Linked DNA regions of Astyanax mexicanus. Each later gene encodes a partner of the first gene's protein in a complex. Links are inferred from orthologs where the notes say so. Each region holds a gene or a part of one and is shown on either strand. Other genes may lie near its edges. The genes, in order: gpaa1 and pigs.

Region 1 (7,772 bases):
TAAAATAACAGAGTGGGGTCAGCGGATGCTGAGGAGCATAGTGCACAGAGTTCACCAACTTTCTGCAGAGTCACTACACCAATCACTACACACCTCCAAACTTTATGTAGCTTCAGATTAGATCAATAACAGTAGAGAATACGGCCGAGCAGCTCCATCCAGGCCTTACATCACCAAGCACCACGCAAAGCGCTAGATGCAGTGGTGTAAAGCAAACCCCCAACTGGACTCTAGAGCAGTGGAGACATGTTCTCTGGAGTGACTAATCACGCATCTGGCAATCCAATTGACAGGTCTGGGTTTGGTGGTTGCCAGGAGAAAACTGTACTTGTCTGACTGCATTGTGTCAATTGTAAAGTTTGGTAGAGGGGGGATAATGATGGCATGGGGTTATACTTCAGGAGTTGGGCTCGACCCCTTAGTTCCAATGAAAGGAACTCTTAGTGCTTCAGAATAGCACCAGTGCACAAAGCAAGGTCCATAAAGATATGGATGAGGAAGTTTGGTGTGGAAGAACTTCACTGGCCTGCACATTAACCTGATAAAACACTTTTTGGATAAATTAGAGCAACATCTTTGAGCCAGGTCTTCTTATCCAGCATCAGTGTCTTACCACCCAAAAATGTGCTTCTGGAATAATAATAACAAACCCCATAAAAACACTCATAAACCTTGTGGAAATCCTTCCCAGAAAAGTCAAAGCTGTAATAGGTGCAAAATGTGTGTGAAGGCAGACAAGCAAAAACTCTCAACACAAAGTGAACCGGACCAGAAATAGAACACGCCTTGTTCAGGACAAATTAGGTCTCACTTACCCAGCCTTTCTTTTGTGGCCTGCGAATTCCCTCCCAGTGGCCAAGGCTCTCTCTCCTGCTGGAAACCGTTCCTCCACCATGGTAGAACCCATGGCATTCTCAGACATGTATGTTCGTAGAGTAAAGGGTTCAAACGCCAGGCCCATGAACCAGGCAATGCCCGCCAAATAGCACACCACGCTAAGAAGTGAACCGAGGAAAAACAGAAGATCAGAGCAGTTAGAAGACACAGAGGAACATTTACAGAAATCAAAGCAGAGCAAACAAAGCTTTCTACCTGATTTTCCACCTGAACTGATTTAAACACACTATATAAACAACTCGGCAGATATCTATCTATGAAAAACAGCAAACTGCAAATACACAACACTAAGGATATTGACTAACTACGAATGAACACTGGAGACATACCATATAGGTGTGTTAAGGCGGGTGAGGAGAGTGGTCAGGGCCTTCCGTCGATTGGGGTCAGATAACAAACCCATGGTGTTCAACTGCTAAAATGGGAAAGGAAAAAAAATATTTATATTTGGAAAATACAATACAATTTTAGAAAGCCATAGACCGAGTCAATTTCTGGAGAAGTGAGAAGATTAAGCAGAGTGATAAAAATAGTGAAGTCTTTATATAAATACATTATATTGCTAAAAGAAATACCTGCCTGCCTGCATTAGGTTTGGGATTTAAAGCTTGGATGAAGCTGCTTAAACACAAAACCCCATTTTGAGCAAAACTTCAGCCTACCAGCAGACCAGGCAACATCCTATCATAGTACCATGCTGGAGTTCACTGAGCTCCTCAGAGCGAGCCATATTTTCATGACTAGGTGCTTGGTTTTATACACCTGTGGCAATTAAAGTAACTGGAACCTAAATACAATCATTTGCATGTGACAATGGCATTTAGACGAGTAGTGAGTGTGAGCAGGTGCAGTACAGGACAGGACTTTCTCTGTAGTCTGGCCTGTTTCTCCCTGCTGATGCTTTTCTGTAGGAGGTGGCTATCAGCAAGAGCCACATGGTCTTCACTGGCCTCGCCTTCATTAACCTCCACAAGCTTAGATCTGTTAGTGCAACAATGCCTAAAATGCTGTAGTTTTAGAGAAGCTAGCAAGTTTAATTTTTCCTCTTACTCAATGTTAATAGAACCTGCTAGACTAGTTAAGCAAGATGTTTCATTTGCTTTGCTAGATGGGTCTAGGAACTGACTGCTAATCTGGAACTGCTGGGTCTAGGAACTAACTGCTCGGTCTACGAAATGACTGCTGGTCTGGAACCACTGGGTTTAGGAACTGACAGCTGGGTTTAGGAACTGATGGCTGGGTCCAGGGACTCAGTCTAAAACTGCTGAGTCTAGAACTTGAACTACTGAGCCTAGAACCTACTGAACTGCTAAGCCTAGAACCTGCTGGTCAGCTCTTAGGCTCTACAAATAAATGATGTCTGCCACGCCATGGTTTAATGTAATTAACTATCTATCTGCAATATTGCATGTATTTAATTGTTTCTATAGTATTTATAATAATAAAAAAGAACTGATATTATATTACTGATACAATTAAATAAACATTTTCAAAGAATACAAATGATTTAATTTACTGAAATGTAAAATAGCAACATATTTTCTTGCACAAAAAATAAATTAAATGGAAAAATCCTGCACCCCTAATAACATTTTGATGAACTGTTTTGAACCTGCTGAGTCTAGAACCTGCTGAAATGCCGAGTCTAGAGCCTGCTGAAATGCTGAGTCTAGAGCCTGCTGAAATGCTGAGTCTAGAACCGGCGGAACTGCTGAGTCTAGAGCCTGCGGAACTGCTGAGTCTAGAGCCTGCTGGTCGGCTCTTAGGCTCTGCAAATGAATGGTGTTTGGCTTCCTATTGAAACTGTCCGTTCCACCATAAGAAGGACAGCGGTTAAAATGGGCAGCCCGAACACGCCGCTCTCATAGCCGCACTGTAAGTGCTGCAGTATTTTAGGTGGTTCGGAAAATTCGAGAAACCCAAGCCACAGTATTATAATTACGTGGCCCGGTTTTCTTATCTAAGGTTAAATTACCACTACAGGCCTTTCTCCACGCATCTAATCAACAGTTCCCCAGAACCGCGAGGCTAAATGAGGGTAAATAAATTAAAATAAAGCGCAAATACAGACAGGGCTTCGAGTCCAGCCCGTACTCGCCGCTTACACCGGCTTTAGGACTAAACCTGCGGCGGCCCTGCAGCTTTAATCTCAGATTATTAATCATCAGAGTCAGATTAACACATCAACAGTATTAATATTATAGGAGATTCTCACCTCAGCGCGGAAAACAGCGATAAATTACGATCAGAAACGAGAGAAACCAGGGCAGGGAGCGGCCATCTTCACCCGGTATCATGGGAAGCAAACCGGAGGAGCAGAGCCGCGCTACAAAAATACAAAATAAAAGCCCTTTTATTACCTAATTACATCTCTGGAAAAAAATTAGACCACTTAGAAATAATTCGTTTCTTTCGTTTTACCAAATTGAAAACCTCTGCAATATAATCAACGAGGAAGATAAATTATCACATGCCATCAAACCAAACTGAATTGATTGAATTTTTGCACTAGGATTAACGTACATTTATCCAAAAGCAGTGTGAAAGACTGGTGGAGGAAAACTTAAAATTAGGGCTTTTTCCCCAAATATTGATTTCTGAACTTCTAAAACTTTATGAATATGTTTTCTTTGCATTATTTGAGGTATGAAAGCTCTGCATGTTTTTTTGTTATTTCAGACATTTCTCATTTGCTGCAAAAAAAAAGCTTCTATTTTTTTTTCTTAATACTTTTATAAAATTGTATAAATCCAGGGTACAAATTGTTTCCACTTTTGTCCAATTGCATGATAATACATTTTTATTAATTTCAGGTTTGGGTCTTGGCTTTGCATATTTTAGAAAAATACTATGTGCATGCATATATAGTGATTTGTTGTATTTTACACTTTTCCTTCATTAAAATAGATAAATATATTCCCCCAAAAATTATTTCACATAAATTTTTTCCCTTTGCCGCAAGTGTCCTGTTGTGTGATGCTTGCAAGAACAAAAGTGAAACAAAGTAAATCATTACTTTTTTGCAAAAATGAATCAGGTTTTGTTTTTATTAATATTTTACAAAAGGTGTACAGAAAATGAACAATACATTGTTTTCAGAGATTAAGAAATTTTGCATTACATAAACAGAATAAAAGGTTAAGATAAAAAAAAACATCTAAAAATATATAAAACAGATGTGTGTTCATGGATTACAGGGCTTCACAGCTTCCTCACGCAGACAAATGGATTCCCAATATGACATTGACAGTCATTCCAGTTCTTTGTGGCTGTAGACAAAGAAAAACAAAAATTAACATTGAAAAGATTTTCCAGATTTTTGCTAATTGCAGTAATATAAAGTTTTAATGAATAAACGTACAGCCCCAGTTGATGGCTACACAGCACTCCCCATTGATATGATTGGGTTCACCAGGGTTCCATTTGCTGTATGTAAATTTTGTCCCATCAGACCAGATCCAGCTGTTCTTCTGTTATTTGTTAAAATAAAAAAAAAATAATTTTAGTTTATTAGAGAATCTAAATGAATGTGACGGCTTAATAAGTTGCTGTGGAAATTTAAGAGGAGTTAAAAACATTTTAAAAACCTTTAAATAGGAATTTTAGGCATATTTTCAGAGATGGGGTATGGGATGTTTAGGCTTTGTTTAAAATGGCTGCAAGACTCCATTGATGAAAATTATTTTTACTATTATCAATATTAATTTTTAGAAGGCAAATAAAAGAGTTTAGTTAGAGTCTGCAGTGTGCAACTATTTTACAGTCAAGCATGGAAACATAATATAACACCAGGGTTGTCCTAGTCAGGTTATTTTGCACCCCAATATATTTTAGCAGCAGTCTATATAGTATAAAGTATATATATATATATATATATATATATATATATGTATATAAGTATACAGAGCTTTCATACCTCAAATAATGCATTTTTTTTTTGCATTTTTAGCGAAGTGTTTTAAAAACAACTGTGACAGTAGTTCACTTAAAGTACAATGTATCATGTAACATTTTAGCAAGTAAATTAAATTACTACATGTAAAAAAATTAAAGTAAATTTTTTACTCGCTAAAAATTGTAGTACAGTAAATTAAAATGTAATGTTATACCCAACGTGTGCTACTTACAAAAGACAGGAAAAAGAAGTCTATTTGAACACTCCTGATGTTAAATTTATTTAACATCAATTCTTAGTACATTTCTAATACACCTTGTGTATAATAATAATAGTGATACAGTGGTAATAATCATTAAATGTATTAAAATTTTACTGTAAGTATATTTAAAAGATGAGGTTTAAAAGTTACTTAGGTATATTTTAAATAGTTCCGTTTTAGTACAGTTAGGTACACTTAGCACAATTTAAGTAAGACTTTTGTACTATTTTTATATATTTAAAGTATAATAAGTACAAAAAAAGTTGTCCCATTTTAGCACTCTTTAAATATACCGATTAATAATGTGGCCACAAGTACACTACTGTATTATGCTGTAGTATAATAATGCATAATAATGCATTATAATGCTTAGTAAACTTTAATCTACTTTTTTCCCACTAGGGTCTGCATGTTAAGTATGCATTTAAAAAATATACTTAAATGCACTTTTCTTTTACAAGGGTCCTCACAAGCCTTTTGTGTAGTTACTTTTGTTCGGCATCCATATTATCTTACCTTCTGACAGTTGGAGAGGCCAATCCATGTTTCTTTCTCGCTGGGGTCATAAGCACGGACCAGAGCCTTCACCACCTGATACTCATTCTCACTGTGTATCGAGGCCAGGTTTCCCCCCAGATTTATACAGTAAGCCTAAAAAGCCAAACAAAATATCCGTGAACTGCTGATCAGGCAAAGCCAGGCCTTTCACGATAAAATAGATTTTTTAATGGACGGTGAATTGTCTCCATTTTGGCATTAATAAAGGTTTATGCTCTCTTATCTATAATAGTAAAATCATTCAATTACATCATTTAAAAAAGTAAAGTAACTTTTGATAGTAAGGGAATAAAAAAATAGAATTAAAAAATGTTTAAATGTTCTACATAAAAACACTTATTTTGTAAGTAAAGTCAACACACCAGCTCAATCACTTTAATAGGATCTTCTAAGAAACTCCAGAACATGATTCTAGTAATCTATGCTCTTGAACTGCTTGTATTCAGCAAACTGTTTGCAGACTTTCTTGTGCATCAGCTTCAGAAGAAGCTTGCTTCTGATTTGATGCAGCGTGTGGTGTATGGGCAGAGCAATGCAGGCTGACCTCCCACTTCTTCAACCTCTGCAGCAATGATGGCTGCCTTTGGCCACCAAACTGTTGCTTAATTTACTTAGTTGAAATCTTCTTACAGTTTAGGCCATTTTTGTGAAGAGCAAACATTAAATTTCTTACATTCTCTTTTTTTTTTTTTTTTTTTTTTGCCATGAGGTGCGATGTTGAATATCCAGTGGCAAGTCAGAAAAAATTACACTTGAAACACCAAATACAGAGGACAGAGGACATCCAATCTATATGGCTATACAAGCTGTACACTAACTAAAGATAAAACTAGCATAAGTTATATACTAGTTTTATTTTTATAGTGTTTCCCCATGAAAATATATAATAAAATATTTGCAGAGCAGGACTGTGAGCGGGGAACTCACTTTTGTTAGATGCTGTAAATGCACATAATGTTAATAAAATATTATACCACAGTTAGTTCTGACCCTGCAATGTGATTGGCTGAGGGGCGTTCTATGAGTGCCATTATCAGCCAGTAATGCACTGTAACTGAAGCTCCCCATGTATTACTCTGCCATTTACAGGTAACCAAGCAACGAGGCAGTGCTTACAAGCCAAACAGCGCAGCTACAAACAGAGCAACAACGAATTTTTATTTTTTTTTATTTTATTTTTACTTGCGCAGTGTTTTAATAAACAGCGATAATGGAACTGTGGTATAATCGCAATAATACACTTGAGGTTTGTGCTATAATGTGTAATATTGGCACTGCTCTTCTGATCTACGTCCGCAGCACAGCAGTGCAAATATTACATGTTATAGCACAAATCTCAAGTGTATTATTGCTTAAATATACTGTAAGCATGACACTACATATGTAAGACTGTGATACCATTTCTTTTTTTTTTCAGATTTTTCCCCATTTTTCTCCCAATTGTCCCACCCCTTTGTGCGTCCCCATCACCGGTGACGCCCGTGACCCTTGAAGGATGCGGACGAGCACACGCCTCCTCCGACACGTGTGAAGTCAATCACCCCTTTTTTTGAGCTGCTGCGGATGAATCATTGCCTGAGCAGCTAGCGCGCTCGGAGGAAAGCACAGTGGCTCGGTTCCGATTCATCCGCTCACAGACGCCTCGTGCCGCCCAGTGCCACCTTAAGTGTGATGGGGAAAGAGCGCCATCTACCCACCCCAGAGGGAGCAGAGCCAATTGTGCTCCCTCTAAGCACCGGCAGCTGATGGCAAAGCTGCATGAGCGGGGGTTCGAACCTGCGACCTCCCGCTCATAGTGGCTGCGCATTAGACCGCGGGACCACTCGGCGCCCCTGTGATACCATTTCTAAATCTCTCTTTAATAATTTTTAACTAAACAGAAATCAGAGAGATTACCTCAGCGGTGACCCAGTCCACAGCTTGGCCAAAGTAGCTGAAGCAGCGTCCGTTGAATTTCACCCAGCCATACGGACAGCTGGGCTCACATGTGTCCTTCTCAGAATTCATTCTATTTACTGGGCTTTTGATTTGTTCTGTTCAGGAAAAAAACATGCAGGATTAAAAAATCTTGAGTTGGCTGGTGTTGGATTAGTGCAATTCCACTGTTATTTCAGCTTTTAAAAAAATGTAAAGCAAAGTGAAAGCAAATTAAATTGTCTT
Region 2 (7,753 bases), on another chromosome or scaffold:
GATGTATTATCACAAGCCATCAAACCAAGCAGAACTGCTTGTATTTTTGCACCAGGAGTGGCATAAAGTTATACAAAAGCAGTGTGTAAGACTGGTGGAGGAGAACATGCCAAGATGCATGAAAACTGTGATTAAAAAACAGAGTTATTACACCAAATGTTGATTTCTGAAATCTTAAAACTTTATGAATATGAGCTTGTTTTCTTTGCATTATTTCAGGTTTGAAATATGAGATTATTTCAGCCGATTCTCATTTTCTGCAAATAAATGCTCTAAATGACAATATTTTTATTTGGAATTTGGGAGAAATGTTGTCCGTAGTTTATAAAATAAAACCACAATGTTCATTTTACTCAAATATATACCTATAAATAGCTGAATCAGAGAAACTGATTCAGAACTGATTCCAGAGCTGTATATGGACAGATATCACACCTGGACTGGACTTTATGGCCCTCATGCTGTCAGCCAGTCTCTCCTTGCTGACTTGGCCGATGCGGATGCGATCACTCAGGGCAGCCAGAATGTCCGGGTGGCTGAAGGACATGGTATCGGCCACTTGCTTGACCTGAGGCTCCAGAGAAGACAGCACCTCCTTTAGACCAGCAGCCCCCTCAAATGGAGCAGCACGCAGCAGAGCAGTGCGCCGCTTCCCAACATACACCTTCATATCCTGAGAGACAGCAGAGAGAAACCTGTTACACAATAATTTAAAGAACAAAGGTTCCCTCATTTCTTAAATCCCACCTTAACAATTGGAATAGTGTATGTGCATGTCTTACCGCTGGCAGCAGGGTGGAGCTTTCAGGGATGATATACACCACCACAGACCCACAGGCACTCTCACTAAGCATATGCAGGGACAGATCTGCCTCTGTAGAAAGGAAATTCAAGCAAAGCATGAAGGCAGGTATTTCTATCATCATGCTTAATCATTACTAATCACATGACAAGATAAAACAGTGTATACAATTCAATGTAATATTTTTCAACCTTCAGCACTGGGTTGGTTCAATGCATCTTCTTCCATGATAGTAGCGGTGCGGTACTTGGTTTCATATCTGTACCGCAGCATGGTCTTTCCTGAAGTAGAGAAGATAAGAGGGGTGATCATAACATGCTCATTTTTGCTGACATTTCTTGTAGAAATGTAGAAACTTCGTAATCATCTTACCATCTACTTGATTCTCCTGCTCTCTGGTCTGACTGAGCGGAACCTTTGACTGCAGTTCAGGGCTCAGCGTTCCTCGAGAGAAGACCACCTCTATCTCAACACTTAACTGGAGCTATATACACAGAAAGATTTTGCAGAAAGTATTGCAATAAACCATTTTAAGACATTGACAGAATAATACAAAAATAGCTTAATTATAAGAGTCCATGGAATTTAATCTTAATATAACTGGTTTAAACAAAGTTTAATCTAAATAATCAGTAACCAGTATGGAGGTTCGTAGGAAATAGACATAATGTAATCTATGTGTCAAAATGTCTAATTTTCCAACATTTTTTCTAAAAACCACAAGTATTATTAGGGAGTTTAACATCTTTTTCCTTTGCTACAGCAACATCTTCTACTCTTCTGAAAAGTTTTTTTTTGTGAGCAATAAAAAGGTTTAAATCCTTCATATACAATAAATTCACTGTATTACTGCCCAATGTCTAAGGGCTCTAATCAATATTTGGTGACAGATGGCTTGTGGATGCTTTTCTAAAGAGGTTATATAAGCTCAAAGAAAGTCAAGCTAAAGACCATTTTTTGCTTGGTAGCTGGTTTGAGATGGTCTGAGATGGTCTAAGCTGGTCCTTGATGGTCAATGTGGTTGAAAAGCTGGTCATCCAGACAAAAACCTACCCATACATGCTGGGAGGCTATCTGGTAACCAGATGCTAATCAGCATATTGTGTTGATTTTAATTCTGGTCATGATCAGTCTTGCTGGCCAACTAGCTTGGTCAAGTTTGGGTAACTATATTGGTTATCTAACCAGCTAGCTTGATAGCATGTACAGGGCATACAGAGGATTGAAATTACATTACTCTCCATCCCAAAGTTACAAGTACAATAGTGTTGGCGGGGGGGGGGGCATGCATGAACATTAAAAATGAGGTGTAAAAGCTTAAGGCTGGTAAGGTGAATGAGTGCATACAGTTCTTTAAATGTCGCAGTTGTAAGGGGAACTAAAGTGGGTATGACAGTGCAAGTGGAAGCAGTAGTGCAGGTATGGGGTGTGAGTGCATGTCAGTTCTTGAAAAAAAAATCAATTTCTGTGTTGATTTCAGTACTAAGTTGCAGTACTGTGTTAATGGAGGGGGGGGGGTGTCAGAACGGAGATTTGGTTATATTGATTATCTAGCTAGCTTGGTCTGGTTGATCAAGGCTTATATACCAGCGAAACAATTAAATTAAAATAAAATCAATGAGCTCGTCCAGTAGCATGATGAGCTGGCTATTTTGTTTTATGGATACTCTGAGCCCATATTGCAGGTGTATCTAATAGTATAATGACTCAGAATGTACCTGTAAGGAGTCGAGCTCGCTGATCTGTGAGATGGGCAGCCAGGCTCGATAGGTCTCGGTGGTCTTCCACCACAGAGGGATCCCCAGCAAGATGACCACAGCTGCGATGGCCAGGGCAGCATATTTGCCTCGCTGCTTTTCTGTATTTTAGAGTATAAAATGCGCAATTGTGAACACATGAGGTGCGCATAATAACGGGAAACAGCAGAAACACAGCGTAATAATACATACACTATATAAACAAAGCTACCAGAACCCCCACACTGATTTCCCTTCAGCTTCAGCAGCAGCAGCAGCAGCAGACCCAGCCCTACGGGAGCTTCTGTAACTAGTGTTTAGCTAATTATTACAGCTTCAGTTTACTAAAGACACGCACACACAAACATTCTCATACACTAAACACACCCAGTACAAACTCAATACCCCGCGTTATAAACCTCAATAAAGCCTCTAATGCAGAAAAAAATGCAGTAATATTAATAAATGACTCGCCTGCCTCGATCGATGCCATGACTACAGGAAACTACTACCGGGGCCTGACAAAGCGCTCTGGCCAATCAGAGCAGAGGAGAGGCGGAGTTATGAGTCTACGGGTACCCGGGAAGGACAAATAACGTAAAAAACAACAACAACTATTGTAGCCGATAGATTTTCAACAGTGCATTAAACAAGCACAGGCTACACATCATATACCAGCCAGCCAGAGTTGTGGTTATTTTACGCTTTTAAAGGGAAGGTTTTAGACTGAGTTTGAGCTGGATTTTTTTTTTGGACCTGGCAACCCTGTAGCCACCACAACCTAGCACATTTTAAAGCAGCCGGTGTTTTGCCTCAATGAATCGTTCTCACCAGTGACACCTGCTGTTCAAAGAGTTATATGACAGATTAAATGAATCCTGAGCAAGAGTATCCTTAAATATCTGTGTATAAAATAAATTATTTTGCCACTCTGTCTCAATTAATATAATAATGTATTTTTAATGGAAATAGCTGAGTGTTGTTGTACACTGACACTGAACACAATAGTGCTTATGGAACTGGGGGAGTTAAGCACAATAAACTGCATCAGAGTAGTATGTGCAAAAGGACAAATATAACATTAATTCTTATAAAAAAAGAAGCTTTATAACTGTGTTGGGGTGGAGGTGATAATTTTTCTTCAATAAAATCTACTCAGCATTAGAGAATACATTTTCACATGGCACTGAGGTGCCCGAAGTGCACAAACCAGCTCAGTGCTAGCCTAGCTAAAGAAAATGTAAATATTTACGAATGTTTTGTTTGCTCCAGTAAATAAATGGATCTTATGTCAACTAAAAAAAACACGAGGTGCTACAAGGCTCGAGCCCTCTTTATGCTGTAGCGACACTCAAAATGAAACGATCACGTGTCCCACAGAATCCGAGGCCTTGTTTTTTAATCAGTCACGTGATTTTTATAATAACGATACAAACCTCGAACCTGCAGGCTTCGACGCTTCACTTCAAATGACCATCGCTATCTTGCAGTGCTAGTTTAGCTGTATATAACGAAGCAACATTTAGAACTGAACGCCTTTAAACCGTAATGATCGATATTAGAACAAAGAAGTTCACATAGGAATACCTGATATTTAGCAGTTTAATTTCAATTATACTCCCCCTTTGATCTCAGAAGTCTGAATGACTTCTTTATTCTAACAGCAAGTCTTGGGCTCCTAAAATGTATTTTACTCTGGACTCAACATGGGAGGTTTTACCACCAGAGTAGGATTTTCGGTTATTGGTGGGAGTAGGATTTAGTTTTGGCATTGTGTCATTTTTACAGGATTTACTCTTTACTGTACTTCAGCTTTATATTTTTCTGCACACTGTGCTTAAAAAAAACTCTCCATATACCAGTTATTGTGTCTACTGCTTAAAATGTGCCGTTGGAAGGTTTGTGTCGGATGCTTAAAATGTGTTGAATGGTGCTCTCTAGATGCTCCTAGATTGTGTTTTGATGGTGCACCAGTGTCTGCTAGTTTAGGACGTGCCAGAGTATGCGACAGCCATTTACCACGTGCTGGATGGTGTGCCAGGCTGGTTTCGGAGGTGCAGGCTGCTGTAGATTGTGTCAAATTAAGTGCCAACGGTTTTGTAGCATGTGTCAGACAGCGTGCTGGCTGGTTTAGAGTTGTGGTGATGGCTGCTTAATATGTGCCAGAGGATGTGGTTTAGAATGTGCTTGTTAGTGTGCGCACTACTTCATGACATGCCGGTTACCGTGCCAACTCAAGAGGTGAAGAAAATAAGTCTTGGCTTTTAATTAAAGTGTAGAATTTTTCTTATAATTGAAGCCATTTAACAAAAAGACGTTTTCACATTGTACATGGAAGCTGCTGTGCTTAAATAACGTTAAAGACAGTTTAGACAGCATAAACTAAAGGATTATCCACTTTTTGTATATCCACTGTGGTAGGAAGCTGGGCCTGATAAGATAATGTAAGCACATGCTCTGTGTTTTCTCAAACTCCAACAGCAGATAAAGTGTATATTTCAAAAATGAACAGACATGTCTTGAATTTTAAATTATTTTATTTTATAGTTTTTGTTTCTAATCTTACACACCAAGTGCTTGAGAGGACAACAACACAATGACATCACAGTTTATCCAAACCAGCAGTGACTATGCTCTTTCTCCCTCTGCCAAACAAAACTGCAGAAGTTTGGTCCAAGCGGCAAAGTTAAGCCATGGAATTATGCTTTACATTACGTTATTTACGTTACATGGTAATCTTTATAGTACTTCAGTGTACCAACGTGTCACCACACTGGGGGGAGAGAGAGCATAGCACTCATGCGGAATACACAGAATAATAGAACACATTTAATCATATAATTTTCCATATCTTTCAACCCATTTAAGTTAGTATTCTGTATTTAAAGCAAACAGACGCACACAACCCAAAAGACTCATCACTACAATAGATGAGAATAGAACACTAAATAAATGCTGCTCAGTGTCCGGTGTTAGTTGATCATTGTGAGGCTGTGCGTTGCGTAAGTGTACTGACCTACCCGCCACTCTCTCCATTGGTCCACTCTCTCCACTGATTCACCCCCTCATTGTAGAATAAGACTGATTGTTTTGTTCTTGGTTAGCATTTTCACTGTATTCTGATCAGTGCTAATGCAGACGCATTATGTCTCATAACATGAATGGATGAGACCACACAACACATCAAACTGGAGAGGCTGTAGCTGCACTTTATGGGAATGTGGGAGCTTAACTGACTCAGTGGTAAAAACTACACAAGCTGGGGAAAGGGTGTCAGAACTGAACACTTGTACAAAAAAAGTAAAGAATGTTTTCCAAAAATATAACTTGAACTAGTTGTTAATATCTAGCCGCAGTGGCAATACCATTTACTTATTAAATACAGCACGATGACCACTTTTGGTACCAGTGTTTGTATAACATTAGATTTTTCAGCATCTCCCATAACATCTGTGAGCCTTTTAAGCCCCCCTTAATCTCTTCTTTGAATCTTCTCCTTTCCATTTTCGACACATTTTAAATAGACAGAACATTAGTAGTAGAACATTGCAATGACGATCCTAAAAAGTACAGACAACAGCGCAGGCCTGTGACTGGTTGGTGACATGGAGGGTAGCAGCGGCAAAAGATACTATTGGTCGGCGGCAGCTGGAGTAGGCGGGTGATGGGAATGCTTTAATAGGCGTGGTTGGCCACATACAGGGACTGTCCTGCAGCTCCAGCGGTTCCACTGGACACATACTTGCCCCGAGAAGCCAGGCCATTAGCCTGTGGAAGAGAGAAAAAAAAAATATATATATATATATTTTTGTTACAAATATTATTGTTAGTAAGATGGAGAAAATCACAACAGAAGAGCACAAGGCTACAAGTAATTATACATTTCATTGGCACGGTCTCCCTTCATCAGCTTCCAAGTAATTATGTTAATTAGATATTGATTAGCTTGATTGATTTAGGGTTACAGAGAAAAAAAAAACAAAAAAAAAAAAACATATGCACATCCAGTCTCTTGCTGCATTCTCAAAATCATTCTCAATTATAACAAAATAATCTAAAGAGAACACAGACAGATTTGAGATTATGCTGCACTGGGCTCTACATAAATAAATAAAACCAAATTTTTGTTAATTTAGTTGTGCCAAAATGTACTTGGACATTTTTATTAAAAAATTAATAAATTGACACAGGCTTTTAGTTATGAGAGATTAAATCTTTGCTTGACAGTAATGATTTGGTTAATGAAACTGCTGTAAGATTTATACCTCTAATATCAATATGCCTCTGTGCAGTAATGGGTTTTGAATATCATGTGATATTTGAATAACTGACCTCAGCACGCTTGATAAACTCCTCAGTAGCGGCCTTCTCGTTGTCCCTGGCTCCACGCCAAGCATTGAGAGCAGAAGCCTGCAGGGCGCGGCCATAGGAGAAGGTGAGGGCCCAGGGCCTGGACAGAGGGCAGTTGTTGATTGCGTTCAGGTTGATGGATGCCTCCTCTTCACTCTGTCCTCCGGACAAGAAGGTCACTCCTAAATTAAAAAAAGAAAAATCCATTCAGCTACAGCCGCTTTAGCCCTGCTTTAGCCAAAGCATCGACAGAAATGTCAATAATAGCAACAGAGCTTCCCTGTCACTTGCTGCAGTAGGGCTGTGCAATATAGACAAAAATGTGATGTGTGAAAAAGCTGTTGGTTATCAGTTTCATCTGCACACATTTTTCACAGGCTAAGGGATAGCTTGGTGTGTTCATTGTGGACCTCTACCTCGAATCTTGTTTCCACACATGAGCATGAGTAAAGAGCTCCCTCTGTTTTTGCATGTTGATAATATAGTTTGAGTTTGCTGTTTATCAGAACAATATATCAGCCCTTACAATGTATTCATCATGGAATATCATTTTGTGACCTACTGCAGTGCGAGCCATTGTGAAAGCACCTTAGAAGTCTATTGCCAACTTATGTGATTGCGTAGACAGGAACCACATCAGCAGTTCCAGGTAAAATACAGCTCAACTCTTATATAAACACACACAAGTTAGTTTTAACTACCTGAAAACACTTTGGTCATAAACAGTGTGATCCATTACCTGGGACTGCTGGAGGGACGGTACGACGAAGAGCAGTGACTGTAGCCATGGCAATTTCCTCATTGGAGTATTTGGTGGGGCAGGAATGTCCTGCTGTCACCATGTTGGGTTTCAGCAGTGTTCCCT

The links.
Region 2: gpaa1 (region 1) and pigs share a complex: the UniProt entries of both Homo sapiens proteins name them as parts of the GPI-anchor transamidase complex. The link is inferred for Astyanax mexicanus from reciprocal best matches to the Homo sapiens genes GPAA1 and PIGS.

Annotation. Positions count from the first base shown.
Region 1 is NC_064415.1:9,848,030-9,855,801, reverse strand, and holds the start of gpaa1 (glycosylphosphatidylinositol anchor attachment 1 protein), read right to left. Parts: upstream 3,205-7,772; 5' UTR 3,113-3,204; intron 1,313-3,112; exon of another isoform or gene 1,310-1,312; 5' UTR 1,301-1,309; coding exon 1,227-1,300; intron 996-1,226; coding exon 816-995; intron 1-815. Other genes in the region: lymphocyte antigen 75, read right to left, coding at 4,099-4,166, 4,259-4,367, 5,571-5,705, 7,509-7,645. UniProt on the Homo sapiens protein: Component of the glycosylphosphatidylinositol-anchor (GPI-anchor) transamidase (GPI-T) complex that catalyzes the formation of the linkage between a proprotein and a GPI-anchor and participates in GPI anchored protein biosynthesis. Binds GPI-anchor.
Region 2 is NC_064424.1:13,017,298-13,025,050, forward strand, and holds the start of pigs (GPI transamidase component PIG-S), read right to left. Parts: upstream 3,084-7,753; 5' UTR 3,032-3,083; coding exon 3,013-3,031; intron 2,661-3,012; coding exon 2,521-2,660; intron 1,287-2,520; coding exon 1,175-1,286; intron 1,084-1,174; coding exon 994-1,083; intron 875-993; coding exon 783-874; intron 674-782; coding exon 436-673; intron 1-435. Other genes in the region: aldocb (fructose-bisphosphate aldolase C-B), read right to left, coding at 6,214-6,306, 6,871-7,070, 7,628-7,753. UniProt on the Homo sapiens protein: Component of the glycosylphosphatidylinositol-anchor (GPI-anchor) transamidase (GPI-T) complex that catalyzes the formation of the linkage between a proprotein and a GPI-anchor and participates in GPI anchored protein biosynthesis.